Anolis sagrei: one gene and its partners. The protein of the gene in region 3 interacts with the protein of the main gene of each other region in a biochemical or structural test. Links are inferred from orthologs where the notes say so. Each region holds a gene or a part of one and is shown on either strand. Other genes may lie near its edges. The genes, in order: CDK6, RB1, CCND1 and CDKN1C.

The links.
Region 1: the proteins of CCND1 (region 3) and CDK6 form a complex in vitro, tested with the Homo sapiens proteins (3 studies listed by BioGRID and IntAct, with this or other methods). The link is inferred for Anolis sagrei from reciprocal best matches to the Homo sapiens genes CCND1 and CDK6.
Region 2: of the proteins of CCND1 (region 3) and RB1, one has a biochemical effect on the other in vitro, tested with the Homo sapiens proteins (15 studies listed by BioGRID, with this or other methods). The link is inferred for Anolis sagrei from reciprocal best matches to the Homo sapiens genes CCND1 and RB1.
Region 4: the proteins of CCND1 (region 3) and CDKN1C form a complex in vitro, tested with the Homo sapiens proteins (2 studies listed by BioGRID). The link is inferred for Anolis sagrei from reciprocal best matches to the Homo sapiens genes CCND1 and CDKN1C.

Annotation. Positions count from the first base shown.
Region 1 is NC_090026.1:102,371,149-102,378,391, reverse strand, and holds the start of CDK6 (cyclin-dependent kinase 6), read right to left. Parts: upstream 3,010-7,243; 5' UTR 2,172-3,009; intron 1-2,171. UniProt on the Homo sapiens protein: Serine/threonine-protein kinase involved in the control of the cell cycle and differentiation; promotes G1/S transition. Phosphorylates pRB/RB1 and NPM1.
Region 2 is NC_090021.1:150,193,745-150,201,159, reverse strand, and holds the start of RB1 (retinoblastoma-associated protein), read right to left. Parts: upstream 3,014-7,415; 5' UTR 2,928-3,013; coding exon 2,872-2,927; intron 1-2,871. UniProt on the Homo sapiens protein: Tumor suppressor that is a key regulator of the G1/S transition of the cell cycle. The hypophosphorylated form binds transcription regulators of the E2F family, preventing transcription of E2F-responsive genes.
Region 3 is NC_090021.1:266,611,646-266,618,834, forward strand, and holds the start of CCND1 (G1/S-specific cyclin-D1), read left to right. Parts: upstream 1-4,178; 5' UTR 4,179-4,557; coding exon 4,558-4,755; intron 4,756-6,391; coding exon 6,392-6,607; intron 6,608-7,189. UniProt on the Homo sapiens protein: Regulatory component of the cyclin D1-CDK4 (DC) complex that phosphorylates and inhibits members of the retinoblastoma (RB) protein family including RB1 and regulates the cell-cycle during G(1)/S transition.
Region 4 is NC_090021.1:246,025,246-246,032,649, reverse strand, and holds the start of CDKN1C (cyclin-dependent kinase inhibitor 1C), read left to right. Parts: upstream 1-4,398; 5' UTR 4,399-4,469; coding exon 4,470-5,205; intron 5,206-5,803; coding exon 5,804-5,889; 3' UTR 5,890-5,894; intron 5,895-7,404. UniProt on the Homo sapiens protein: Potent tight-binding inhibitor of several G1 cyclin/CDK complexes (cyclin E-CDK2, cyclin D2-CDK4, and cyclin A-CDK2) and, to lesser extent, of the mitotic cyclin B-CDC2. Negative regulator of cell proliferation.

The DNA of each region.
Region 1 (7,243 bases), on a different chromosome or scaffold from region 3:
ACAGGGTCTTAAATGGCGAGGGTCAAATTTGGGGGGCTTTAATACCCACTTTTGCATCCAACCACCCCTCCTCTATTTAGTCAATCATCCCAAGGCTCAGAGGAAGATCTGGAAGATAGGCAGTGGGGTGTTGGATGTAAAAGGGGGTAATAAAGCCTCCCAAACTCAACCCTAATCATTTGAGACCCCCTTTTGTCCATGAGAAGAAGGCTAGTGGGGTGGGAGGGTATAAAGGCAAATAATAGAGCCCCCCCAAAAGCCAACCTGCACTATTTAAAACCCTCCTCTATTTAGTCAATGATCCTGAGGCTCAGAGGAAGGTCTGAAAGGTGAGCAATGGGGTGTTTGGATGTAAAAGGGGGTAATAAAGCTCCCCAAACTCAACCCTCACCATTTAAGACCCCTTTTGATCATGAGAAGAATGTTAGTGGGGTGGTGGATCCAAAGGGGGATAATAAAGCACTTTGAAAGCCAACCTGCACTATTTAAGACGCTCCTCTATTTAGTCAATGATCCTGAGTCTCAGAGGAAGATCTCGGAGGTGGGCAATGGGTACTTGGATGTAAAGGGGGGGGGGTGATAAAGCCCCCTTCCAGACCTTCCTCTGAGCATCAGGGCTATTGACTAAATAGAGGAGGGTTGGTTGGATGTAAAAGGGGGCGATAAAGCCATTTAAGACCTCCTTTTGATCATGAGAAGGCTAGTGGGGTCAGTGGTTGTAAAGACCTCCTTAAGACCCCCTTTTGATCATGAGAGGAAGGCTCGTGGGGTGGGTGGGTGTACAGGGGGATAACAGAGCCCCCCAAAAGCCAACCCACACTATTTCAGACCCTCCTCTATTGAGTCAATGATCCTGAGGTTCAGAGGAAGGTCTGGAAGGTGGTCAATGAGGTGGTTGGATGTAAAAGGCGGTAATCAAGCCCCCCAAGCTCAACCTTCGCCATTTAAGCCCCCCTTTTGATAATGAGAGGAGTGTTCATGATAATAGAGCTCCCCAAAAGCCTCCCCCCTATTAAAAACCCTCCTCTATTTAGTCAATGATCCTGAAACTTTGAGGAAGGTCTGAAAGGTAGGCAATGGGGTGGTTGGATGCAAAGGGGGGGGGGGGGGTAATATAGCTTCCCAAACTCAACCCTTGCCATTTAAGACCCCCCCCCCCTTTGATCTGGAGAGGAATGTTAGCAGGATGAGTGGGTGTAAGGGGGGAGGAATGTTAGTGGGGTGGGTGGGTGTACAGAGCCCCCCAAAAGCCAACCCACACTATTTCAGACTCTCCTCTATTTAGTCAATGATCCTGAGGCTCAGAAGGAGGTCTGGAAGGTGGGCAATGGGGTGGTTGGGTGCAAAAGGCAGTAATAAAGCCCTCCAAGCTCAACCCTCACCATTTAAGACCCCCTTTTGGTAATGAGAAGACTGTTAAGAGATAATAGAGCCCCCCCCCCAAAAGCCAACCCCCACTATTAAAAACCCTCCTCTCTTTAGTCAATGATCCTGAGACTTTGAGGAAGGTCTGAAAGGTGGGCAAAGGGGTGGTTGGATGCAAAGGGGGGTAATAACCCCCCCCCCCAATCCAACCCTCACCATTTAAAACCCCTCTTCGATCATGAGAGGAAGCTAGTGGAATGGGTGGGTGTACAGGGGGATAATAAAGCCCCTCCAAAAGTCTGCCTGCACTATTTAAAACCCTCCTTAGATCCTGAGGTTCAGAGAAAGGTCTGAAAGGTGGGCAATGGGGTGGTTGGGTGCAAAGGGGGGGGGATAAAGCTCCCCAAACTCAACCCTCGCCGTTTAAGACCCCCTTTTCATCATGCGAGGAATGTTAGTGGGGTGGGTGGGTGTACAGGGAGAAAATAGAGCCCCCCAAAAGCCAACCCGCACTATTTAAGACCCTCTATTTAGTCAATGATCCTGGGGCTCAGAGGGAGGTCTGGAAGGTGGGCAATGGGGTGGTTGGGCGCAAAAGGGAGTAATAAAACCCCTCAAACTCAACCTTCGCCATTGAAGACCCCCTTTTGATCATGAGAGGAATGTTAGTGGGAGGGTGGGTGTAAAGGGGGATCATAGAGCCCTCCCGGAGCCAAGCCCGGCCACTCACTAGCCCTCCTCCCCATTGAAACCAAAGAGTCTATCAATCTGGATGAGCACATGGCACTTCAGGGCCGAGGAAGTACCTGGCGTGCGCTTCTGCTGGTGTTGGTGCGGGAGCTCCTCTCGGAGGGGTGCCTCGGTCTTCAGAGCCAAACGGGGGTCTTTGGAGAGAGCAATAAAAGGGACCCCCCCTCCTATACAATTAAAAGAGGAATAAGCAGGGGGTGGGAGGAAGGAAGGAAGGATGGATGGAAGGAAGGAAAGGACAGCTTGCTTCCTCTCTCTCTCTCTCTCTCTCTGGGAAGTCCTAAGATCTGGCTGCCCATCCAACGCAGATGGGTCAAGGGGAGGAGGAGGAGGAGGAGGAGGAGGAAGAGGAGGAGGAGGGAGGTTCACATGGTGCTGCTCCGGTTTGGGGCTCCCCGCAGACCCGGCCTGGGCCACACAGGTAGCCGCCAGCACCGGAGCGCCTCCTCCTCCTCAACCCGCATCTTCCTGGCAAACTCGGGAAGAGCAAAACGGCACCTTCTCCTTCTTCCTCCTTCTCCTTCTCTTCTTCATGCAAGGAGAGGATCTCGCAAACCTCCCTCCTCCTCCTCTTCCTCCTCCCTTAGAGAAAAAAAAAAGGGGGGGGGGGTTGTAATAACTCTGATCAAAGCCTTCACAAACTCTACCCACGGACACTCTTCCTGCCTGTGAAAAAAGTTCCCGTTCCTCTCTCTCTCTCTCTCTTTCTGTGGCTCAGTCTGGGAGCAGAAGAGTTTTCTTTTCTTTTTCTCTCCCCCCTCTCCAAACTCGCCTCCACTCACTCTCCCTCTCTCTCTCTCTTTTCCTCTCTCTCTTCCCTTTCTCCCCTTCTCCCCCTCGGTTTCCCACGCTGGCTGAATGTGACTTGACCCCGTTTCAAAAAAGTTTGACATAGTGCTTCAACATTTCCGCATTCCTCCCCGACTACAAAGGCAGCGGCCGCCTCCTTCTGCTTTCTGTCTCTGCTCTCTGTCTTCGCACTCAATGAAATCCTTCATGGGCCAAAAAAAAAGGCAAGGGGGGGGGGGCAGACCACCCCTCCCCTCTCCCCAAATACCGCCGGCAAGGAGGCAGGAGAGAGAGAGGGGGGCGATAGGGGGGGTGATTATGGGGGAGGGAGAGGGGAGACCCCAAGCTGGGAGGAGGAAGAGGAAGGAGGAGAGCACAGCTTCTGAAACTGCTGCTGCTGCCTCGTGGGCTTGTTTCCCAGGGTGTGCAAAAGTCCACATTTGTTACACAAGAGCAGGCCCGGGCCAACTTGGGCCCTCCAGGTGTTTGGGACTCCAACTCCCACCATTCAGACTGTGAGGAATGGTGGGAGTTGGAGCCCCAAACACCTGGAGGGTCCAAGTTGGCCCATGGCTGGTGTAGATGCACCCTACGCAATGCAACCCTGGGAGCTGCAGTTTGGTGAGGCGCCAACACTCTTTGGCACAGAAAGCTGAAGCCCTTGTAAAACTACAAGGCTGAGGGGGAAAAGGAAGGGGCCTGAGGCTGTGGGGAATGGTGGGAGTTGGAGTCCAAAACACCTGGAGGGCCCAAGTTGGCCCATGCCTGCTGTAGATGCACTCTCTGCAATGCAACCCTGGCTGCTGCAGTTTGTTGGGGAACTAATACGCTTTGGCACAGAAGGCTGAAGACCTTGTGAAACTACAAGGCTGAGGGGGAAAGGAAGGGGCCTGAGGCTGTGAGGAATGGTGGGAGTTGGAGTCCAAAACACCTGGAGAGCCCATTGGCCCCGGCCTTTTCCAGAGGGACTCTTCTTGTTATTATTATTCTTTTTTGGATGTTTGGACATACAGTATATATAAAGAACAAAAGTAATTTAAAGTAGGTAAAAGCTAAAAGTTTTCCCCTGACATTAAGTCCAATCGTGTTCAACTCTGGGGGTTGGTGCTTAACTCCATTTCTAAGCCAAAGAGCCAGCATTGTCCATAGACACTTCCAAGGTCATGTGGCTGGCATGACTGCATGGAGTACTGTTATCTTCCTGCCGGAGCGGTAACTATTTATCTACTCACATTTGCATGTTTTTGAACTTCTAGGTTGGCAGAGACTAGAGCTAGCAACAGGAGAATTGGCTGACTGCAAGGACATTGCCCAGGGGACACCCTGGATGTTTGGATGTTTTACCAGGTGATAGATGAATCTCATCCGCACTCTTCCCAGATTCAAACCTCCAACCTGTAGGTCTTAAGTCCTGCTGGCACAGGAGTTTAACCCACTGTGCCACCGGACCAAGGAGCAGTAATTTATAATATAAACAGGACCAAGGAGCCACAGTGGAACAGTGGGTTAAACCACTGAGCTGTTCAACTTGCAGGTCGCAGGATTGAATCCGGGGAGTGGCGTGAGCTCCAGCTGTTAGCCTCAACTTCTGCCAACCTAGCAGTTTGAAAACATGCACATGTAGGTAGATCAATAGGTACTACTCCGGTGGAAAGTTAACAATGCTCCATGCAGTCATGCTGGTCACATGACCTTGGAGGTGCTTACGGACAACGCCAGCTCTTCAGCTCAGAGATGGAAATGAGCACCAACCCCCAGAGTCAGATATGACAGGCCTTAGTGTCAGGGGAAAACCTTTACCTTACCTAAACAGGGACCAATGCAAGATACTCCACCAATTCGGCAGAAAAAAAGGCAAAGATACAGAATGGGGGACATCTGGCTCAACAGCAGTAGGTGTGAAAAATATCTTAGAGTCCTCCTGGACAACAAGTTAAACATGAGGCAACAAAGTCATGGGGCAGCTTAAAAATCCAATGGGATTTTGGCCTGCATCAATAGGAGCATTGTGTCTAGATAAGTGGTTCTCAACCTTCCTAATGCTGCGACCCCTTAATACAGTTCCTCATGTTCAGGTGACCACCAACCATAAAATTATTTTCATTGCTACTTCATAATTGTAATTTTGCTACTCTTGTAAATCGTCATGTAAATATCAGATATGCAGGATGTATTTTCATTCACTGGACCAAATTGGACACCAATACCCGATAAGCTCAAATTTGAATACTGGTGGGGGTGGGCGGGGGCATTGATTTTGTCATTTGGGAGTTGTAGTTGCTGGGATTTACAGTTCACCTACAATCAAAGAGCATTCTGAAGTCCAGCAATGATGGAATTGAACCAAACTTGACACACAGAACTCCAATGACCAACAGAAAGGGGTTTGGTGGGCATTGACCTTGAGTTCTGGAATGAGAGAGCGGAATATAAATAAAGTGTTGTTGTTGTTGTTGCTCTCCTCACATATTTTCTATTCCTACCTCACCCAGGGTTTTATCATTTTATCTCGTCCATTTGGCCTGCCCATCCTGTTTGATTTTATATTGTGTTAATTTGCTTTATTTGTTTTATTTTGCTACTTAACTATTTTTTGATGTAACTTTTTGTTCTCTGCATTCTGTGTTTTATTGTGGACTCAAACAATGATGGATCTGGACCAAACTTGGCATGAAGACTCGATGTGCCGAAATGTGAACATTGGTGGAGTTTGGGTTAAATAGACCTTGATATTTGGGAGTTGTCGTTACTGGGATTTATAGTTCACCTACAATCAAAGAGCATTCTGAACCCCACTTGACCCTCAGGTTGAGAAATGCTGCCTTAAGGCCAGCCAATCCAACACCCTTCACTAGGGCAAGAAAACGTAACCAAAGCTCTCCTGACAAAGAGCCATCCAGCCATAGATATAGATAGATATATATGATTCACACACACACACATATGTATATGACAGATATAGTATCATAGATTTGAAAGGGACCCCTAAAGAAGGACAATTATATTTTGCATGTTCCAAAGTAGGCAAATCAGACTATCTCTACATCAACACTGACAAAGAAACGACAAGAAATACTGTTTACACACAAGCATAAAGAAATTATATATATTAGAAACCAATACTTTCTCATTACTTTATTTTCCAGATCACCAGACTGGGCCACAGCAACGCCTGGTAGGGGACGGCTAGTAAATAATCATAAATGTAAACATGTACAGTGACCCCACTGTAAACTGTTCTACTAATGTACTTGTAAGTGAAATCAGAATGCAAAGGGCAGGCAGCAGTGCTCTCGGAAGTCCCCATGACTTAAATCCTGTTTAATAATAGCAGTTAAGAATCTTTTGGCCAACCTGCCAAACAAAAAGAGGTTCATTGTGAGCACAGGAAGGTGTGTTTTCCACATGTAAACCATTCCATCTGCATTCCTGTGACTATAGCTTCATCTTTCATCTCTGTGGCAATATACCTCTAACTCCATTAACGTCAGTCAACCTTCCCTTGGATGAAGATAACATATGCCTTGAGGATTTAGTATATATTAACCCATCCTATTTTTTTAAAAGTAAATGTTATTTATATTCAAAAAGGAATTTCACTTACATACAATAATGTTCCAATGTAACAAAAGCAGGAAAATAAAAACAGATAAGGAGGAAAATTAGCCGCATTAGCCACAAGTTTCTTTAAAACTGATCAAATGTCCATACATAAGTTATATTGTAATTTTTGTCTGTACAACATTATTTCAAATTTTGCAAGTGTTTTTAGAGCTGCTATCTATCAAATCACATTGGAAAAGGAAAAAACCTTCCAGTAGCAACATATTCATTTTTTAGCAGTCAAAGGGACACACAATACCTATTTCCACAGGCTATTTGTTATTTTCAAAGGAATAGGTAAATTATAAAAAAGAGTATAAAAGCAATGAATATCAAAAAACTTTTCAAAACTAAATGTACTTTAATGATCACGTTCTCCCAAAATGTAGCAACTATTGGCCAACTTCAAAACATATGCATTAAGGAAGCATTATTACAATTAAAATAGTTTTCTGATTTTTGAAAAGAGATTCTAACTGCACAAAAGACCAATTTTGCTGTATAAAACATTATTGGAGGTCTATAGCCATACTAGTTATAGATGCTAAAATTGATGGCCATTGATTAGTCAAAACAGAATATTTTTATTCTCTATTCCATCTTTGCTATAAATTTACATGTCAATTTATTTATTGATTGATAAGATATCCCCTCTGGGCAGCTAAACCAGGAAATCCCAAATGGATGACCCCCCCCCCCCCATGAGGGTATTTGGGCAAACCAAGAATGGGGTACT
Region 2 (7,415 bases), about 120 Mb from region 3:
ATGTTGCAATTGGCCACTTTGATTAGCACTGAATGGCTTTGCAGCTTCAAAGCCTGGCTGCTTCCTGCCTGGGGGGAATCCTTTGTTGAATGGTGTCAACTGGCTTTTTATTTTTATTTACTGTCCTCACTCAGCAACACTCAGAAAACAGGAATTCGAGGCATGAAACAATCCAGGCCAGCTAGCATCTCCCAACAAAGGAGTCCCCCAGGTAGGAAGGAGCCAGGCTTTGAAGCTGCAATGCCATTCAATGCTAATCAAGGTGGCCAATTGCAACATTCACACTTGCCTCAAACAGACAATGGTTCTTTCTCCCACCCTGGGCATTCCACAGATATATAAACCTTACTTGCCTAGTTTCTAACAGATCTCACAACCTCTGAGGATGCCTGTCCTACATGTGGGGAAAACATCAGGAGAGAATGCTTCTGGAACATGGGCATACAGCCCGGAAAACTCACAGAAATTCCAGGCATGAAAGTGCTGGACAGCGCAATACAGCTTTGTTGCAGCAGGACTAGCAATAACAAAATCTTAGAAGGGATAAAAAGAGTTCACTGTTAAAGATTGGAGAGAGAAAGTACTAGAGTATGTCCAAATGGCCAAGTGAACTAGTAGTAATAAAGGAGAGGAAATAGGAAGAATCTATATAAATAAAAATGTAATGTTTGTTGGTGGGATTAACATAACTCAAAAACCACTGGACGAATTGCCGCCAATTTGGACACAAGACACCTACTAACCCATGGAGTGATCATCACTAAAAAAATGATTTGCCATTGGTGAGTTGTAGTTGCCAAGATTTATAGTTCAACTACAATCAAAGAGCATTCTGAACCCCACCAACGATGGAATTGAAGCAAACGTGGCACACAGAACTCCCATGACCAACAGAAAACACTAGAAGAGTTTGGTGGGCATTGACCTTGAGTTTGGGAGTTGTAGTTCACCTACATCCAGAGAGCACTGTGGACTCAAACAATGATGGATCTGGACCAAACTTGGCACAAATATTCCATATGCCCAAATATGAACACAGATGGAGTTTGGGGGAAACAGACCTTGACATTTGGGAGTTGTAGTTACTGGGATTTATAGTTCACCTACAATCACAGAGCATTCTGAACCACACAAACGACAGAATTGGGCCAAACTTCCCACACAGAACTCCCATGACCAACAGAAAATACTTAAAGCCATCCAGTCCAACTCCCTTCACTAGAGCAAGAAAACGTAATCAAAGCCCTCCTGACAAAGAGCCATCCAGCCCTAGATATAGCTAGATATATATGATTCACACAGAGAGAGATATAGTATCATAGAGTTGAAAAGGATCCCTAAAAAATGACATGTTGCATGTTCCAGAGTAAGCAAACCAGACAATCTTTACATCAACACTGACAAAGAAACTGCAATAAATACTGTTTACCCACAAACATAAAGGAATTACATATATTAGAATCCAACACTTTCTCATTACTTTATTTTCCAGATCAACTGACTGGGCCACAGCAACACGTGGCAGGGGACAGCTAGTCTATATAAATAAAAATGTAATGTTCGTTTGTGGGATTAACAGAACTCAAAAACCACTGGACGAATTGACACCAAATTTGGACACGAGACACCTAACAACTCAATGTATGTCCTTCACTCGAAAAAAATGATTTTGTCATTTGGGAGTTGTAGTTGCTGGAATTTATAGTTCACCTACAATCAAAGAGCATTCTGAACCCCACCAACAATGGAATTGAACCAAACTTGACACACAGTTCTCCCATGACCAACAGAAAATACTGGAAGGGTTTGGTGGGCAGTGTCCTTTGGTTTTGGAGTTGTAGTTCACCTACATCCAGAGATTGCTGTGGACTTAAACAATGATGGATATGGTTCAAACTCTACACGAATACTCAATATGCCCAAATATGAACACTGGTGGAGTTTGGAGAAAATAGAATCTTGACATTTGGGAGTTGTAATTGCTGGGATTGATAGTTCACCTACAATCACAGAGCATTCAGAACCGCACCAACGACAGAATTGGGACAAACTTCCCACACAGAACCCCCATATTATTAAGGCCATCCAGTCCAACTCCCTTCACCAGGGCAAGAAAACGTAATCAAACGTAATCATGACAAAGAGCCATCCAGCCTTAGATATAGATAGATATATATGATTCACACAGAGTATCACACATATAGTATCATAGAGTTGAAGAGGACCCCTAAAGAAGGACAATTTGCATGTTGCACGTTCCAGACAATCTCCACATCAACATTGACAAAGAAACACTGTTTACTCACAAGCATAAAAATTACATATATTAGAATCCAACACTTTCTCATTACTTTGTTTTCCAGATCACCAGACTGGGCCACAGCAACGCCTGGCAGGGGACGGCTAGTTTGTAAATAAACGGAGGCTGGCATTTGGAAAGGAAGACAAAGTTGATTTGAAAGTAGCCACAAAGGGAACTTCTTAAGACAAGATGGCAATGGCAGCGACTGTCAAAAGGGGAACTTCAGATCTGGATCTTTTCCAACAACAGCAGCAGCAGAGCAACAACTTTTGAAACTTTTCCTGTCATTGTAACACAGGCATGGTCCAACTCCGGCCCTCCTGGTGTTTTGGACTTCAACTCCCACAATTCCTAACAGCCGCTAGCGGCTGTTAGGAATTGTGGGAGTTGAAGTCCAAAACACCAGGAGGGCCAGAGTTGGCCCATGCCTGTTGTAAGGTCTTTGAGGAGAAGACCCCTTCCCCTCCTACTTGGGCTTCCCTTGGGATGAACAAAAGCCCAGTGGGGTGGCAGCCGCTCTCCTTCTATGGGGGAAAAGGCCAAAAGAGAGGGGGACGGAGGGCACTGACCTGGCTGTGGCCGCGGGCTCCGGCTCCGCCTTCCTCGGGGGCCTCGTGGGCGCCATCTTGGGCGCCTCCAAGCCCCTCAGCGGCGGCGCCCCCTCCCTCTCCTGCGCGCGACAGCCAGCAGCCAACCGGCAGCAGGCCTCGCGAACCGCGGGAAAGGGCCTCGCGCCCGCCGCAGACGTCACTTCCTGCTCTGGAGGGCGCGCGGAGCTTCCCTTCACTGGTGGCCAAGAGAGGAGAGAAGCAGGTGCTGAAGGCGGGCTTGGTTTGGACTCTTCATAGTTCCCCCTTCCACCTGGACAGAAGTGTCAAGCTGCATATCCTATCACTATAAGCAAACCTTGTTTTGTTTTTGTTTTTTGCCCTCCCATTTTCTCACGGTGTTCCCAATGGCAAGGGTATTGTCCAATTCCATTACGTTTTCAAGGGCAGCCCCATGTAGAGCGCATTACAGTAGTCCAATCTGGAGGTGACTAAGGCATGGACCACCCTGGCCAGATCCGCCTTCCCGAGGTACGGTCACAGTTGGCGCACAAGTCTTAATTGTGCAAAGGCCCAGTGTATCTATCCGAACGGATCTCCCTCTACGTCCCACCCCAGAGTCTAAGATCTTCTGGGGAGGCCCTGCTCTCGACCCCGCCTCTATCACAAGTGAGATTGGCAGGGACGAGGAGCAGGGCCTTCTCGGTGGTGGCCCCCCACCTTTGGAATTCACTCCCCAGGGAAATTAGATCTGCAACACCGCTCCTTTACTTTAGGAAAAAACTGAAAACATGGATTTGGGACCAGGCATTCGGATAATCGGGCAGATAAAAGGACTTGACAATGATTAGGAAATGATTAATGGAATAGAATTATGGAACTCTGAAAGACGAAGCGCTGAGCATGAGAATAGTTTTTTTTATAGTTTTTATATATGACATGTTATGTACTGATTGTTTTTATTGTTTTTAACTGCAATAATTGTTTTAGCCATGGTTTTGTATATTATGTGTAATTTGTATAGGCATCACATTGTGCCTTCTTTGTAACCCTGAGTCCCTCCTTGGGGGTTGAGAAGGGCGGGGTAAAAGTAACCTAAATAAATAAATAATAAATAAAGGCCCTCCCGGCCACCGCCGACGCCTGAGCTTCAAGCATAAGTGATGAGTCCAGGAGGACACCCAAACTGTGGACCTGTGACTTCAGGGGGAGTGTAACCCCGTCCAGCACAGGTTGCCACCCTATACCCCAATCTGGTTTACAATCTACCAGGAGGACCTCTGTCTTGTCGGGATTAATCTTCAGCTTGTTCTTCCTCATCCTGGATTCACAGCTGACAATGGAAGCTCAGGTCGCTGCTGCCAGCAAACAGGCCTTTTTCCATCTACGACAAGCGAGGCAACTGGCACCCTACCTATCTGACGAGGCACTGGCAACTGTCATCCATGCCACGGTAACGTCTAGGCTGGACTATTGCAACGCCCTGTATGTGGGCCTTCTGATGTCTACGACCCGAAAGCTTCGTATTGTTCAGAATGCGGCAGCCAGGTTACTCACAAGAACGCCCATGAAATGCCATATAACACCAGTGCTGCAACATTTACATTGGCTTCCAACTGAGTACCGTGGCCTGTATAAGATGTTAGTTCTGACCTTTAAAATTCTTTACGGCCAGGGTCCATCGTACCTTAGGGACCGCCTCTCCTCCCATCATCGGAGATCGCAACAACCAGCCCAACGTGACTTACTCCATATACTGGGTCCTAGAGAAGTGCACTTGGAAAGGATCAGATGCAGGGCTTTTTCTATTTCTGCCCCTGCCTTGTGGAATTCCTTGTTGCCCTACATGAGAGCCATGCGTGACTTAGGGCCTTTTACTCTCACACTTAAGACCTGACTTTTTACTAGAGCATTCGATGAGACTGCTGTCAGTTGGGCAACGAAACAAGACGGGAAACTTGGTGGTTCCCATCCCACCTGTTTTTCAGTTGTAAACTTGTTTGTAAAGTGTAATAAGAGGTGGGAACTCTGAACATGATTGAAGGCCCGTGTTCAGAGTTCCCTCCTTTCAAGACACTTGTACCTCTTTTCAACCACTGAGGACTATGCATGCCAGACTGCTGCAAAATTTATTCTTGAGACTAGTAACGTTTAAGTATGTTTTCCTTTTTATCTGTGACTTTTTGTTGTATGGGCCTGTGTTGTGATTTTGTTGTTGTATGCCAATAAAGGCTGTATGTGTGATTTTGCCATTGTATATCCTGATTTTGTTATCCAGTGGGGTCCTGGAACCAAATCCCAGTGGATACCGAGGGCCCGCTGTACTCCGTCTCACTGCTTCTTAAACTGGGTCCTGGCCTCAAATGGGATCCCACTAAAGACACAGGTTCACAGCTTGGGAGTGATCCTGAACTCGTCGCCGAGCCTGATTAGTTCTCAATACATGTTCAATTTTTATACCTATTTCATATACCCTACATACCTAGGGTCATGTCAAGCATTGTTGAAAAGGTTTAAGAAGCCCTGTACTGTCCTGTTTAGATGTCCCCTCCCATCTGCCAAAGGAAGAACATTCCCTATTATCCAGAGAAATATCTTTCTCATCTTGGTATCTAACAAACCTGCCAGATACTTTGGAAATTACAATCACGGAGGAATGAAAGAAGCATAAAAAGTAGTAGATTCATAAATCTGAATGGTGGAAATCCCATTGCTATCTCCTTGAGCTTCTGTAGTCGGATTAGTTTAGCTCTATCATATCTTAGACCCATAGAATCGTAAGAGTTGGAAGAGACTGCAAGGGCCATCTCGTCCAACCTCATTCTGCCATGCAGGAACACACAAAGCAGTCTCAGCAGATGGGCTTTCTTTCAGCCTCTATTTAGAATTATAGTATCATAGAGTTGGAAGAGACTGCATGGGCCATCTAGTCAAACTCTGTGCCATGCAGGAAAAGCACAATCAAATCAGCCCAGACATATGTACCCATTGCTCTGGCCCGGCCCAGTTTTATTGTTTCCGGGTGCACTGTTTATTGCTTGTTGTTTAATATTGCTTCAACTGTTTTTAATTTGCTTTAGGTTGTGTATTGTTATGTTGTGTTTGAGGCCTTGACCTTTGTAAGCCGCATCGATGCTAGCGGGGTACAAATAAAGATAATAATAATAATAATAATAATAATATGGCCTCCACAGAAGGATTCCCCCAGGCAGGAAGCAGCCAGGCTATGAAGCTGCAAGGCTATTTGGTGCTAATTAAGGTGACCAATTGCAACATTCACACTTGCCTCCAAAAGACAAGATTCATACTCGTAAATAATAGAGCTGGAAGAGACCTCATGGGCCATCCAGTCCAACCCTCTGCCAAGAAGCAGGAAAATTGCATTCAAAGCACCCCCGACAGACGGCCATCCAGCTTCTGTTACAAAACTTCCAAAGGAGCCCCCACCAGACTCCGAGGCGGAGAGTTCTACTGCTGAACAGCTCTTACAGTCAGGAAGTTCTTCCTAATGTTCAGGTGGAATCTCCTTTCCTGCAATTTGAGCCCATTCCTCCATTGAGTCCTAGTTTCCAGGGCAGCAGAAAACAAGCCTGCTCCCTCTTATGACATTCTTTCACATCTTTATACATGGCTACTAACTGCCCCCTGCCACACGTTGCTGTGGCCCAGTTTCTGTATATGTGCTTTGTGTGTATATAAGTGTGTTTGCATGTATGTGTGTGGTTTGCGCATGCGCTGTAGCATCTTTTTGGCTTTTTTAGTCCTTTCCGCTGTGTTTCACAGTGTTTTTATGAGTGATGGTCACTCGCTGGCCTGATAGGTATATTGTGTCCAAATTTGATGTCAATTCGTCCAGTGGTTTTTCAATTATATTAATCCCACAAACGAACATTACATTTTTATTTATATAGATTGTGTCTATTCTCAACCTTTACTTCGGCAGGCTAAACATCCCTGGCTCTTTAAGTCACTCTCATAGGGATTCATGGTTTCCAGACCTTTGATCCTTTCAGTCGCCCTCCTCTGAACACCTTCTAGCTTGTCAATATCCCTTTTGATGGAAACACAAACAATCCCACCAAAGCAGGTAATAGCTCTGTTTTTCATCCATGGACCTGAGCCCAGGTTCTCCAATACAAACAAAATGTATTCTGAAATCTGCTACAAATACTTTTTAAAAATGTATCAGTGGAAGTGGTATCATGGGAATATTCAGTCATGATGGTGAAAGAGATACAGAATCCAACAGGTACATGACCTTATTTTTTATTTAAAATTGTATTATTTGCTTCAACTAATAGCCATATGACATATTTTATAACATCTAATCTCAATTCTAATCTAAAATATTATTAAGGTTAAAATTCAGTAGTCCTATGTTAAGCATCCTAGAGAAATTCGCCATGTAAAAGAAAATGTGAAAAGAAAATGGACAAACTTTTAGACAAACAGGTTTGTAATATTTATTTTCCATTGCACATACATAGCTTATATACATCTCAATAACACAAAGTTACTGCTCAATTTTGTTACAGCAGACACCTATATTAGAACAGCCGTTTGGA
Region 3 (7,189 bases):
CTACCCCGCCGCCTCATAAATCAAGGGCTGCTGCCACACACCGGCGCGGGTTTTTATGAATGGAGAAACCACCCTGCTCTCCCTTGCCTCCTCCTCCTCCTCCTGGCGTCCCCTTCTCTTCCCTTCCCTCGCAAAGGGGGAACCCACTCCGACAAAGCAAATATTGTTTGGGAGCAAGGAGAGGGGGGAGGGAGGAGCTGCCCATTGAGCGAGCTTTATATTCCCCCCCCCCCAAAAGAGCCCCCAATTAAGACATCCCCATTGCAGGAGCGCCAGGGCAAGCGAGAGGAGAGGCATGGGCACAATCCTCCCCCGGGATCAGAATAGAAGAACCCCCAAATTGGGGAAGTCCGGGTGATTCTTATGCCAAAACCAGGTCCTTGAATTGCATTGCTGTGCCTTTTCGGGCGATGCTTTCCAGAAGCATTCTCTCCTGACGTTTCGCCCACCTCTATGGCAGGCATCCCCTGAAGTTGGGAGGTCTGTTGGAAACTAGGAAAATGGGCAATCAATTGGGGGTTAATCTATCCGTGGAATGCTGGGAGGGGTTAGCCAGTCTTTGAAGCTGCAAGGCCATTCAATGCTAATCAAGTGAGGTTTAGATATCTGGAACGTCCACGGTGGAAGAAAGAACTCTTGTCTGCTTGAGGCAAGTGTGAATGCTGCAGTTGGCCACCTTGATTAGCATTGAATGGCCTCGCAACTTCAAAGACTGGTTAACCCCTCCCAACAAAGGTTCCCCGCAGGCAGGAAGCAGCCAGGCTTTGAAGCTGCAAGGCCATTCAGCGCGAATCAAGTGAGGTTTATATACCTGGAAGGTCCAGGGTGGAAAAAAGAACTCTTGTCTGCTTGAGACAAGTGTGAATGTTGCAGTTAGCCACCTTGATTAGCATTGAATACCCTTGCAGGATCAAAGCCTGGCTGCTTCCTGTCTGGGGCAATCCTTTGTTGGGAGGTGTCAGACAGGCTTTGAAGCTGCAAGGCCATTCAATGCTAATCAATATTCACACTTGCCTCCAGCAGACAGGAGTTCTTTCTCCCACCCTGGACCTTTCAAAGATATTAGCCTCACTTGATTAGCATTGAAGCTTCGAAGACTGGCTAACTCCTCCCAACAAAGGCTTCCCCAGGCAGGAGGCAGCCGGGCTTCGAAGCTGCAAGGCCATTTGATGCTAATCAAGGTGGCCAACTACAGCATTCACACTTGCCTCAAGCAGACAAGAGTTCTTTCTCCCACATATATAAACCTCACTTGATTAGCATTGAATGGCTTTGCAGCTTCAAAGACTGGCTAACTTCTCCCAAAAAAGGCTTCCCCATTCAGGAAGCAGCCGGGCTTTGAAGCTGCAAGGCCATTTAATGCCAATTAAGGTGGTCAATTGCAACATTCATAGTTGCCTCGAGCAGACAAGAGTTTTTTCTCCCACCCTGGACATTCCGCAGATATATAAACCCCACTTGCCTAGTTTCCAACAGACCTCACAACCTCTGAGGATGCCTGCCATAGATGTGGGCGAAACGTCAGGAGAGAATGATTCTGAAACATAGCCAGACACCCCGGAAATCGCACAGCAAGCCCAGCGATTCCGGCCAGGAAAGCCTTGGACAACACGTATCATCCTGGGAAGTTTGCATCCCAAGGCGTGCCTGGAATTTGCGGGGAGTTGCCTCGAGCGAGGCTCGGCTCCAGCCCAAGGAAGGCGCCCTCCCTGGAGGCAAGGCAGCGCGAGGGAGCCAGTCGCCCAGGAAGCCCGGGCTTGTGGGTGAAACGGGCCAGACCCACCAACCGGGGGAAAGAGAAGATCCCCGGAAGCCGGACGGGGCAGACTTCCGAGTTCCACCTCTCTCGCCCCCATTGACTTCCTTCCCTTGAGCCACGCGGCTTGGGGAATGTGTCTCCTGAAGTCAAGGCACAAAGGAAGGCCGCCCTGCCCCTTCCGAGACCCATTGCGGGACTCCTTGAAGTAGAATGCAACTTTCCTTAATGTATTGTCGGCTTTCAAGGCCGGAAACACTGGGTTGCTGTGAGTTTTCCGGGCTGCATGGCCATGTTCCAGAAGCATTCTCTCCTGGCGTTTCGCCTGCATCACAGATGCAGGCGAAACGCCAGGAGAGAATGCTTCTGGAACGTGGTCATGCAGCCCGGAAAACTCACAACAACTCAACTTTCTTTAATCCCTCTCTGCGCCTTTAATTCCTGCCAGAGATTCAACTCCAACAAACAGGTCGCCCTGCGGAAATGAATGGCTGATCCTTTCCCCATATGATGTAGGGGCCCATTCAAAGATTTGGGGCTGAAATCTACATTTTGGGGGCTCCAGCTGCCAGTTTTGGACCTACCACGTGGCGTTGAAGCCCCACCACGTTTCTCCTTCTAAGCTGAGGGGGAAAAGGAAGGGGCCTGAGGCTCTGGGAATGGTGGGAGTTGCACTCCAAAACACCTGGAGGGCCCAAGTTGGCCCAGGCCTGCTTTAAAGAGACGCTGCAACTTCCAGCTCTGCTCCCTCTCTCTCAATGCTGCCTTTGTTCCCCATCTTGGAAGAAGTAAACCTGGTTTCCAAGTGTGTTTTTAGATGGAAAGGGGGGAAATCAACCCCCCTGATCCCAAAGATCTGGCTGGCATTCTGCAGCCACGTGGTAGGTCCAAAACTGGCAGCTGGACCCCCCCCCCCCCAAAGTGTCCAGATTTCAACCCCAATCTTTGAAGGGACCTCTATATCCTATGGGAAAAGTTTGAGCCAATCACTGGGTTGCTGTGTTTTCCGGGCTGTATCACTCATTTTCCAGAAGCATTCCCTCCTGACGTTTCGCCTGCATCTATGGCAGGCATCCTCAGAGGTTGAGAGGTGTGTTGGAAACTTAAACAGGAGAATGTATTGTCGAAGCCTTTCATGGCCAGAATCACTGGGTTGCTGTAGGTTTTTCAGGCTGTACCGCCATGTTCTAGAAGCATTCTCTCCTGACATTTCGCCTGCTTCTATGGCAGGTATACCTCACAACCTCTGAGGCTGCCTGCCATAGATGCAGGCAAAATGTCAGGAGAGAATGCTTCTAGAACATACAGCCCAAAAAACCTACAACAGCAAAGGGACTCATCACACTAGAGAAAGAATCCACATTAAATCCGGTTTCTGCTTCCTGCAGAATTCTGGGGTTTGTAGTTTAGGAAGGAGCCTTTAACAGTGTCACTAAACTACAAGGAGAATTCTGCAGGAGGCAGAAACTGGATTTAAAGTGGATTTTTTTCTGTAATGTGATGAGGTCATAAGTGAGGTTTCTATGCTTTTGGAACATGGCCATATAGCTTAAGCTGACTTGTGTGGGGAGGAAGGGGCATGAGGCTGTGCGGAATGGTGGGAGTTGCACTCCAAAACAGGAGGTACAAACCGGATTTAAAGTGGATTTTTTCTCTAGTGTGATGAAGTCATAAGTGAGGTTTCTATGCTTTTGGAATATGGCTTTACAGTTTAAGCTGGATGATTGGGGGGGGGGGGGGGTAAAGCTGTGAGGAATGGTGAGAGTTGTACTCCAAGTTGGTCCAGGTCTCCGGGCCTGAGGCTGTGAGGAATGGTGGGAGTTGCACTCCAAAGCAGGAGGCACAAACCGGATTTAAGGGGGATTTTTTTTCAATGTGATGAAGTCACAAGTAAGTGATGTTTCTATGCTTTTGGAACATGGCTATACAGCTTAAACTGGATGAAGTGGGGGGGGGGGAGAGGAAGGGGCCTGAAGCTGTGAAGAAGGGTAGGAGTTGCACCCCCAAACACTTGGGAGGGCCCAAGTTTGCCCAGGCCTCAAGTTTGCCTGTGTGTGGCCGTGGCCTACTTCCCCCATTGTATTCTGCACCAGCTGCATAAAGCCCGCATTATTATCACCATCATCACCATCATTATTATTAAACATATCCTGCCTAATGCACTGGAAAGACAATTTGCTTCTTTTTCCCCCTCCCCGGGAAAAAAAAGAGAGGGGGGGATCTTTAGTGCTCATTTGCATGGGTATGCAAAAGAGAGAGAGAGAGAAGGGGGGGGTAAGCGCCTTGCTGCTGCTGCTGCTGCTTCTCCTCCTCCTCCTGCTTGAACTGCGGCGAAGGGGAAGGCCTTGGAGGCGATGGGATGGCTTTAGGGCTCTGCCCCTTGCTTTTGGCTCCTCTCCCTCCCTCCCTCTCTCCCTCCCTCCCTCCTTCCTCGCTCGCTCTCTCCTTCCTTCGCATTCTTTGATCTCCGCTTAACAACAGTCACGTCACAAGAGGGGGCTCAGGCGGCAGGGTGGAAGTTTGGAAAGTTTCCCCGCAGCCTCCAGAGGGCTGGAGCAGCAGCAAGCGGTAGCACCAGCGAAGCGAAGCAGGAGGAGTCGTTGCTGCTGCTGCTGCTGCAGGAGAGTCAGCCCAGCCAGCAGCATCCGAGCAACCAGGGAAGGAGAAGAAGGAGAAGAAGAGCAGCCTGGAAACAAGACTCCCTCCGGAGAGAAAAGAAACAAAGCCTCGCAAGAACAGCATAAGGAAGAGAGGAAGCACGCGGGGAGAGAGAGAGAAAGAGAGAGAGGCGAGGCGTCGGCATGGATCACCAGCTGCTCTGCTGCGAAGTGGAGACCATCCGGAGAGCCTACCAAGATGCCAACCTCCTCAACGACCGGGTCCTGCAGGCCATGCTCAAGGCCGAGGAGACCTGCTCGCCCTCCGTCTCCTACTTCAAGTGCGTCCAGAAGGAGATCTTACCATATATGAGGAAAATCGTGGCCACTTGGATGCTGGAGGTTGGTAACCATTCCGAGAGAGAGAGCGAGAGAGAAGGAGGAAAGGAATGGCAAGCTTGGGCTTCCTTGGCAATAGTCAAACCACCCTTGCTTGGAGAGAGAGAGAGAGAGAAAGGGGATTGCAAGACTAACTTAGTAATAGTCAGACCAGCCCTGCAGAACCTCTGCTTGGAAAGAGAGAGAGAGAAAGGGGATTGCAAGCCTGGGCTTCCTCTGCCTGCCTCTCTTTCCTCTCTCCGGCATTTCCTCCACCCGAAGATAGCCTTTCCTCCTGGGCTGCTTTCTCCCTGCCTCCCTTTCCTCTCTTTCCCCGGCGTTTCCTGCACCCGAAGCCAGGCCTCCTTTCTCTCGCTGTCACCTTTGGAGGCGAACTTTTGAATGAGCCCGAAAGGCAGGGTCCTGGGAGCGAAGCGTGGGCTGCTTCCTCGCCCAGGCGCCCCGGCTCCTGCCTTCCCTTCTGGCCTTTCCCTCGAGCCTCCCCGGGCCTCCCAGGGGGGGATTTTGATTTTAGATTTAATATCCATGGACACGTATGCAAGTGCTCCCCGTGCCAGTATTCTGCGCCATCTTTGTTCTTTTATTGCAAGGGTTTATTAATCATTAGGAGGCGAGAAACTTCCCTTGAGGGTGGGGGGGGGGGGTCCCTGGGCTTTGGGCTTGCAAACTTTGGGGAGAAACTTTTCTTTGTTCGCACAGAGAGAGAGAAAACCCCTGGTCTTCCTCTCCTCCCCCCCTCCCCACCCCCGCCCGGAAGACGTGCTTGCTTTCTCCTGCAGAGACTTGTCGGCAAGGTCGCCCAGTACAAAAACAAGTGCAAATCGGGGTCCCCCTTTGGAGGAGGCGCTTCAAAGGGGTCCCATCAGAAGCAGCCGGCTTTGGGCTACATTTTCAGCCCTTTCCCGAAAAAATCCGCGCCCGGGAAGTATTTTTAATTAATTTTTGAAAGCCCCCCGGGTGGCAAATGTCGCACGTTGCTTCTCAAGAAGAGAGAGCTTGGAGAGGAATGGGGGGTGCTGGAGTTTGACTTCGGGGTGTCCCACCAGAGGATCCCCCGTGATTCTTCTCATGAGGGATCGGTAAAGAATCGCCCGGGGTTTGTTTTCAGCTACTTTTGGAAGCGCTGGTGATTTTTTAAACATTTTTAAATATTTTTTGAAAAGATGACGTCTGGGGAAAAAGCGTGCAGCTGCCTCTTCGACGCCACCTTTGTGTCTCGAGCGAGGAGGGGGGGAGGCAGCACCCAAGCCAATGGGAGCCAATAGGGGGCACCTCAGCTATACACCCCCCAAAAAATATCTCCAAGCAGACCTACTTCTAACTACTTTGGGGGGTCGCTTCTTAATTTCGGGCTTTTCAAAAGCCTGTTCGCCTTTTTATTTCGCCTCCTCAGTCCCCGACCACGTTTTTCCAACTTCCCTTGCGACTTTCTCTTTCAGTTCTTTTCTCTCCTTACACTCTCAACACATTTATTGACTTGGTTCATTTGGTTTTTATAAAAGTGGGAAATTCATTTCATTGGATTTTCTTCACCATTCTTGTGTGGAAGAAAAAGTTGGTTCAAAAAAGTAAGGATTTGTTTCTTGTTTTTCCCTTCCCCGTTTTTTTGTTTTGTTTTTTTCCCCTATTTTCCCTTCAGGTTTGTGAGGAGCAGAAGTGCGAAGAAGAAGTATTCCCCTTAGCTATGAATTATTTGGACCGATATCTCTCTTTCGAACCCCTTAAGAAAAGCCACTTGCAACTGCTGGGAGCTACCTGTATGTTCGTTGCCTCCAAAATGAAGGAAACCATTCCTCTCACTGCAGAAAAACTGTGTATTTACACTGATAACTCCATTAGACCCAGCGAATTACTGGTAATTTCGTACTTTTGTCTCTTCAGAAAACTAAAAACCCTCAAGCCACACTGATAAAGAAACCAGGCTGATCAATTCTTCAATTTCAGATCTCCTAGACAGATTCCCTTCCTCTAATGTTTAGGACTGAAAACTTCATGCGGTTTGCTCACTTTGAATTCTTTCCACCATTACCTTTACAAACTTTACTCCAGCGTGTGCAAATGGGCATATATGGGAAGCATATAATTGAATGAATATATATATATAGAGAGAGAGAGAGAGAGAGAGTGAGTTTTTGAAGGCTTTCATGGTCGGAATCACTGGGTTGCTGTGAGTTTTCTGGGCTGTATGGCCGTGTTTGCTTCTGAATGCTTCTGTAATATGGCTATACAGCCCGGAAAACTCAGAAACAACCTATATGATCAGAGGTTGAGTACAAGAGTCTTAAAGCTCACCAATTCCAAGTTGGGAGGCAGTCCCATATACACATTTTTCAGAAGCAATTCCTAATCCCTTCAATAGGATATTTATTATTGTTATTGGGTTGCTGTGAGTTTTCCAGGCTGTATGGCCACATTCCAGAAGCATTCTCTCCTGACA
Region 4 (7,404 bases), about 21 Mb from region 3:
CTTCCCTTCAACTTTGGGTAATGTGAAACAAGGCTGCATTAATGTGGCCTTGTCCCACATTACCCTGAAATAGCCCTATGTTTTGGCCACCTGTATACCAACCTAAGTTGTATAGATGTGGCCCAAAAGAGAAAGGAAACTGCATTACCTTCATAACATTTGTGAATTCTTTAAGATTAGCACTATCAGGCAAAGTTTCTATACAGCACAGAACAGGCCAAAAACATAATTCAATTTGATGGGAGCAATATCAGAAATAGTTTTGTTTCCCTTGTGCCTTCCATTTATGCAATTTTTGGTACCTACTATGTCAGTACAAACCTTTATATAGAAATGTACGATTAAGTTGTTTCACGTGGACTATAACTGATGAATAGTATAGTTTATTTAACTGCCACACTTGCTTTGGGCAGTGTATTATCTGCTCCCGGATACAAAGAAGCATATCTAGAGGATAGGAAAGATTGCCTAAGTAAACCATGAATGGAACAAAGATTAGTTTATGGGACTCATATTTTATTGGTTAATCATTACAAACCTTGCAAAGAAATGAAGTTTTACAGTATTTTGGCAGAGGTCCAATTGGATAACGGTGCTCCATGGTCATTTACTTTCTGGAACTGGATTGGCTTTGGTCCTCTCCTTTGCTGACGAGACCTGATAGGGTGTTAAATCAAGGGAATTAATATTTCATCACCTGTTTTCACTTGAAGGTCTGGCTGCATGACTGACCTTCCTCCTCTCTGCTGCCCCATCACAAACTCTTCCAACAGAGGTTTACATCTTGCCTAATGAGGTGCATTGTCAGGGCCAATGAACCATGATAGCCTTTTTATGAACTGTTCACTGAACAGCATCTTTCTGGCCTGCAGGCCACCTTGCAAATAGCCATATGGTCTTCACGGAAGTTGAATTTCAGTGAAGGGAAAAAGTACGAGCCAATGCTGTCATGACATTCGCCCTAAACACTACTTGAATTCCAGCTGATTTAAGAGTCTGGATAATTCAGATGGACTGTATCATCGTTGGTCATCTCAAGTCACTTACCTTTCCTTGCCCCAAGTGAATCCTACTTCTTTTGTGGAGATTATTATTATTTTTTTACTGCCGACAGGCTACGTTTATCATGAACAGACCATGCTCTCGTTCTTTTCCTGTTGTACGAGTGGAGAAACAAAGTTATACCACATTCTCAAAAACAGGATATTTAAGCCAAGTCCTCTGATGTTTGAAACACTAACAAACATGTATTGTGGCGTGAACTCTCTGAGGTAAACACCTGCTTTGTTGGATGCATCTGATAAGAGAGACTCTCCTGCAATAAACACAAGGCAAAACAATAGCATCTATCTGGGCTGAGGAAGCTTTGGTCTCCAGGTACCTTTGGATGTCGACTGCCATAAATCCCAGAAAGCATGGCCAAAGATCAAGGATTATGGGAGCTATTGTCCAAAGCCCCTGATGGTGCAGCAGGTTAAACCACTGAGCTGCTGAACTTGCTGACCGAAAGATTGGTGGTTTGAATCCAGGGAGCAGGGTGAGCACCTGCTGTTAGCCCCAGCTTCTGCCAACCTAGCTGTTCGAAAACATGCAAATATGAGTAGATCAATAGGTACCGCGTCTGCGGGAATGTAAAGGTGCTCCATGCAGCCATGCCAGCCACAATGCTGGCTCTTTGGCTTAGAAATGGAGATGAGCACCACTCCCTAGAGTCAGACACGACTTGACTTAATGTCAAGGGCAAACCTTTACCTTCACCTTAGTCCAAAGCACCTGCAGCAGTGGTTGTCAACCTGTGGGTCCCGAGGTGTTTTGGCCTACAACTCCCAGAAATCTCAGCCAGTTTACCAGCTGTTAGGATTTCTGGGAGTTGGAGGTCAAAATATCTGGGTTGACAACCACTGACCTGGGGGATCAAAAGTGCCTTCTGGTGTAGGCATCACAACTATGCATTGCTTCTGTAATGGAGTTTATGAATGGTAACAGAGGCCTAGATCCACTGGTTCCCAAACTGTGGCTCCACAAAAAGCTTCAGGGGAAGTCCGTGAAAAATGTTTCAAATCTTAAAAAAACAAACTTTTCCAAAAGTCATGCAAGAGTATGAAGATCTTATTGAAATGCAATGTACCTCGGCTTTAAAAATGAAATGTGAATCTGTGCCACTGATTTTGGGGTTGGTTTGTGGTCACATTTAAAATGTTTCGCTTTATTTCCAAACCTACATCAGGTCTGGGCAAACTTTAACCCTCCAGGTATTTTGGACTTGAACTCCCACAATTCCTAACAGCCTCAGCCACCTTCCTCCCCCCCCCCCCCCAGCTACTTAAGTCGGTTAGCAAGTTCAGCAGCTTAAGTGGCTGAGGGTTAAAAGGAAAGGGCCTGAAGCTGTTAGGAATTGTGAGAGTTCAAGTCCAAAATACCTGGTCAAAGTTTGCCCAGGCGTGTACTACATTATACACAATACCCAGACAATAGGAGTAGATAAAAAAGGAAGAACTTTGTGGGTTCGCAGTGCTTAGGGATAGATAGGGTTAGGTTCTGTGGAGAGAAAAAGTCTTCTGAAGTGTTCCACAACAGAAAAGGTTTAGCAACTGCTGGCCTAGACAACTCTGCTCAAAACCTTCCCTACTAGAGAGATTTCTGGTGAATGGAACTCAAGACCTTGGGAAAGTTACTCTTCAAATGACCGTTCCTCTATGTGCCATCGACCATCCTTGTTGAGATGCTGGGACCTGTCATCTGGAAGAACTTTTCCAAGTTCTGGCATGGACTGAGAAAAAGGAGCATGAGGCACAAGAGAGCTATGGAGTCACCACTGAATAGATGCACGCCTGTCAGGTCCCAAGGCTTTTGAGCAGAAAAGACAAGTTGACAAACACTGTGTGCAAAATGTGCAAAAAGAAAGAGTGGTCAGAAGTACTTGTAAAAAAGGGAAAGGCTTCCCTTTAACATTAAGTCTAGTCATGCCCAACTCTGGAGGGTAGTAGGTAAAGGTAAAAGTTTTCCCCTTGACATTAAGTCTAGTTGTGTCTACCAGAGCCGGCACTGTCCGTAGACACCTACAAGGTCATGACTGCAATGGAGCGCTGTTACCTTCCTGCCAGAGTGGTACCTATTCACATTTGCATGTTTTTGAACTGCTAGGTTGGCAGAAGCTGGAGTTCACTCTGTTGCCCAGATTAGAACCGCCAGCCTTTCGGTCAGCAAGTTCAGAGCTTAGCAGTTTAACCCGCTGTGCTACTGGGGGCTCCCTGGGGGATGGTGGTGATCTCCATTGCTAAGCCGAAGAGCTGGCATTGTTGTTCGTAGAAGCCTCCAAGGTCATGTGGTCAGCATGAATGCATGGAGTGCCATTACCTTCCCGTTGAAGTGGTACCTATTGATCTACTCACACTTCCAAAAAAGGTAAACTTGTGGGTTTGTGGATAGATGTCAGGGGGTCCTTGAACTTGAACTGGGATTGGGGTAAAGTAAAGGTTTCCCCTTGACATTAAGTCTAGTCTTGTCCGACTTTGGGGGTTGGTGCTCATCTCCAAGGTCATGTGGCCAGTATTTGATTCCAAGGAAATGGGAGAATCACAGCCACAGCGGGAGCTTGCTTCTTCCTTCCACTGCCCCGGCTCAATGCTATGGAATCGTGTGAAGTTATAGTATGTTGAGGCCCCAGCACAGTCTGGCCGAGAAGGCTCAAGTCCTTGTGAAGCTACAACTCCCGGGAGTCGCATAGCACTGAGCCGCGCACGGCAGGGAAAGCGGTGCCCAAATCGCCTTGCTTTTTCAGGGGAGGAGACGGACTTCTTCTGGATTTCTTCCCCGTTCCCAAACCCGACCCCAATCCTCAAGGGCTCCTTTGTCTTGCTAGCTAGGGGGACCTAATTCGGATCAATCCTTCCCGCGCGCCGTTCCCTCTCTCCCGGGTTGGAAGCGCCCTCGTCAACAACAAGCTTTGTTTTGCTCACAAAGCCCTTCTTTCGCGGTTGTACTTTGGAGGCGGGGAGGGGCCGGGCCCGGGTTTCAGGTTGCAGGACCCGAGCCCCCGAAACACAGAACCCCTCCCCGCCCGGCGCGTAAGAAAGGGGACAAATATTGAAATGCAGGGCTCATCAGGCACTTTTTTTTAATAAAAGGAGGGGGGGGAGAAGGAGGGGAGGGGCAAGGCGCAGCCCCCTCCGCCGCCTGCAAACAAAGGAGCCGAGCGGGCGACGTGGGCGCGGTGTCAGGTTACTCCCCCCCCTCCCGCTCCCTTTAAATGCCCAAGTTCCCCTCGCTCACGCCTCCGCCCCTCGCGCGTCCCTTGACGGAAAGCAGCCCCGGCCAATGGGAAAGCGGGAGGCGCGTTTGGCGCCCTGCCACACTGAAGGTGCCTTCCAATGAGGCGCGCGCGCGAGGGCGGGACGTCGCCCCGTGTCGATCGCCGCCTCGTCCAATGGCAGCCGTGTTATTGCCGAGCCATAGTATTATGCTAATCGATGTTTTGCTCGGGCGCCACTCCGCGTAGAGCTTTAAAAAGCGCAGCAGCCCCGGAGCGAAGTCGGGAGGGCCCGAGAGAGGCAGCGGGGTGGACGATCCGTTCGGGCTCGGGAGCCAGGCCAGGCATTCGCGGCGCCTCTTCCTCCTCCTGCTTCGCCTCGTTCCCTTCGGCGGCGGCGGCGATGTCGAGCGTGGACCTGTCCGCTAGCGCCTGGGCCCTGGAGCGGCTGGCGGCGCGGCGCGCTTTCCCTTCGGAGGCGCGGACGGGCGCGTGCCGGAGCCTTTTCGGTCCCGTGGACCACGAGCAGCTCCACCGCGAGCTCCGGGACCAGCTGCGCCAGATCCGGCAGGAGAGCCAGCGCCGGTGGGAGTTCGACTTCCACGCCGGAGCGCCCCTCGCGGCTGGGCAGCGGGACCAGGCGCGCTTCCAGTGGGAGGAGGTGGACGCCGCCGCCCTGCCCGCCTTCTACCGGGAGACCCTGCTGCCCGGAGCGGGCTCCCTTCGCCGCCGCCTTCGCTGCCACAAGGGCAAGGCGCCCCAGGAGGAGCAGGAGGAGCCCGAGAGCCACGGAGGCACCGAGCCGCCGCCTTCCCCGCTCGCCGCGCGGAGCCACGAAGGAGCGGACGACGACGCTGCCGCCGCCGCCGAGAAGCAGGAGAGCGGCTGCTACTCAGGGATCCCCCTTAAGCCCCTCCCGGGGGTGGCCAAGAGGACGAGGGTCGCCCACATCACCGGTACGAAAGCGCTGCGGAGAGGAGGAAGCAGGAGAGAGACGGAGAAAGGAAGGGAAAGAAGGGAGGGATTGCGAGAGAGAAAGAGAGACGGGAGAAAGGAAGGGAAGGGCGCCTGCACTTGTCCTGCGGGGGGGGGGGCACACAAAACAATCCTCCTCCTGCTGCTGCCTTTAGGGTCTTTTTAGTGGGAAGGAAGGCGTCTCTTCCCCCTTTCCCCTTCTCTCTCCTTCTACTATGTTTTCTTTTCCTTGCTCCGTCGTCGATGGCTTGCAGGGCAAGGAAGGAACGCTTACGCAGCACTTCGCGCTCGGCCGCCCAACGCCTTTCTTTCTTTTTTTTTCTTCCCTTCCTTTTTCTTGCTGCTGCGACGTAAACAAACCCGTCCCGTTGCAGTTCCCTTTCGAACCGCCAGGGGCAGGCGAGGGCAGGCGTCGCGGGGCGGAGGCGCGGGGAGTGTTTGTCTGCCGCGGAGCTCGGGGGCGCCCGGGGCGGGTCCCTTTCGGGAGGGGGCCTGTTTTTTCCCCGGGGGGTGTCGGAAGAGGGAGGAGACGCCCCGCACTCATTGGTCCTTCTCTCTCTCTCTCTCTCTCTCTCTTAGATTTCTTCGCCAAGCGGAAAAGAGTGGCCGCAGACGCCAGCAGCGCGTTGGCCTTGGAGCAGACGCCCCGGAAAAGGCTCCGATGAGCGAGGTGAGGAAGGGCTTGATTTAATCCCATTGCCAGCTCAAAAGGAAGGCCCCTTTGAGTTGCTGTGAGTTTTCCGGACTGTATGGCCATGTCCCAGAGTTATACAGCCCGGAAAACTCACAGCAAGCCAGTGATTCCGGGCATGAAAGCCTTCGACAACACGAAGACCCCTTGGAGTAGGAATAAAGGCTGAGGGGAGGGTCTTCATTGTGTTTGGATGGGGAAAGACGTGTTTGTGCCTACAAGGCCATAAGAGCTTCAGAGGTGTGCATTAATGCCAGGCAGAGAGTTTCGGGCATGTGTTTCTGCCAAATCGAAGACTTTTAGGGTATTTGTGGCTTTCTGGAAGATTTAAAGGATGCCCGGAGAGGGTGGGGCAGGGCTGCTTGGCTACTTCTTCACACTGGAGAATGAATCCACTTTAAATCCGGTTGCTGCCTCTTGCAGAATTCTGGGGTTTGTAGTTTAGGGAGGAGCCTTGAACTGCAAATCTCAGAAATCTGCAAGAGGCAGAAACTGGATTTAAAGTGGATTCATTTTCTAGTGTGATGAGGTCCTTGGAGCCTTTGCCCTTAAGGCACTGGTTAGGAGTTGCCAAACAGAAACTCACATATACTTTTTGCCCAATCTTCAACCTCCTGCCCACCTTGGACCTAAATAACAACAACAACAACAACAATAATAAACTTTATTTTTACTCCACCACCATCTCCCCAAAGGGGACTCGAGAACAGCTTACATGAGGACAAGGCCAGCGATACATTACGGCAGCATAAAATATATACAACAAAATAACATCACAATAAAGTAAATAAACCAACCATGGACTGGTTCCATACTGCCAAATAATCCAGTTTGAACTTCAGTATAGGGCAATGTGTATATATACAATGTAGTTTGAGGTGTATTTGGTTCTACACGTGCCATACAATGCAGTTCACATGGCATTATTTGGCAGTGTAGAACTAGCCTGAGGTCCCTGTCATGTGGATAAAAGACCCATCCTGCTCTGATGATGCCCTAGCTGCAGTTGACTTATCCATTGTGCCTTCTGCATTAATTCTACAATACAGATGCATTCTTTGACTTATCCAGGGATGCCTCAGTATTGTGGAATTAATGCCATTTGCCACCATTTAACTTGATGCTATGGAATCTTTTGAAAAGCCTTCCCTGCCAAAGAATGTTAGCACTTTACCAAATTACAACTCCCATGATTCCATATCTTTGAGTCATGACAGTTAAAGCAGGGCATGGGCAAAGTTGGCCCTCCAGGTGTTTTGGACTTCAACTCCCACAATTCCTTACAGCCTCAGGCCCACTTAAGCGGCTGAGGGGGAAAAAGGAATGGGCCTGAGGCTGTTAGGAATGGTGGGAGTTGGAGTCCAAAACACCTGCAGGGCCAAAGTTTTCCCATGACTGGCGTAGATGCACTTTAGGAAAAGCGAGGCAGTGCCTTGTGATGCTTCTATGTAATTCTGAGCTTTCTGTTGCTTTTTCTCCACCACCTTCC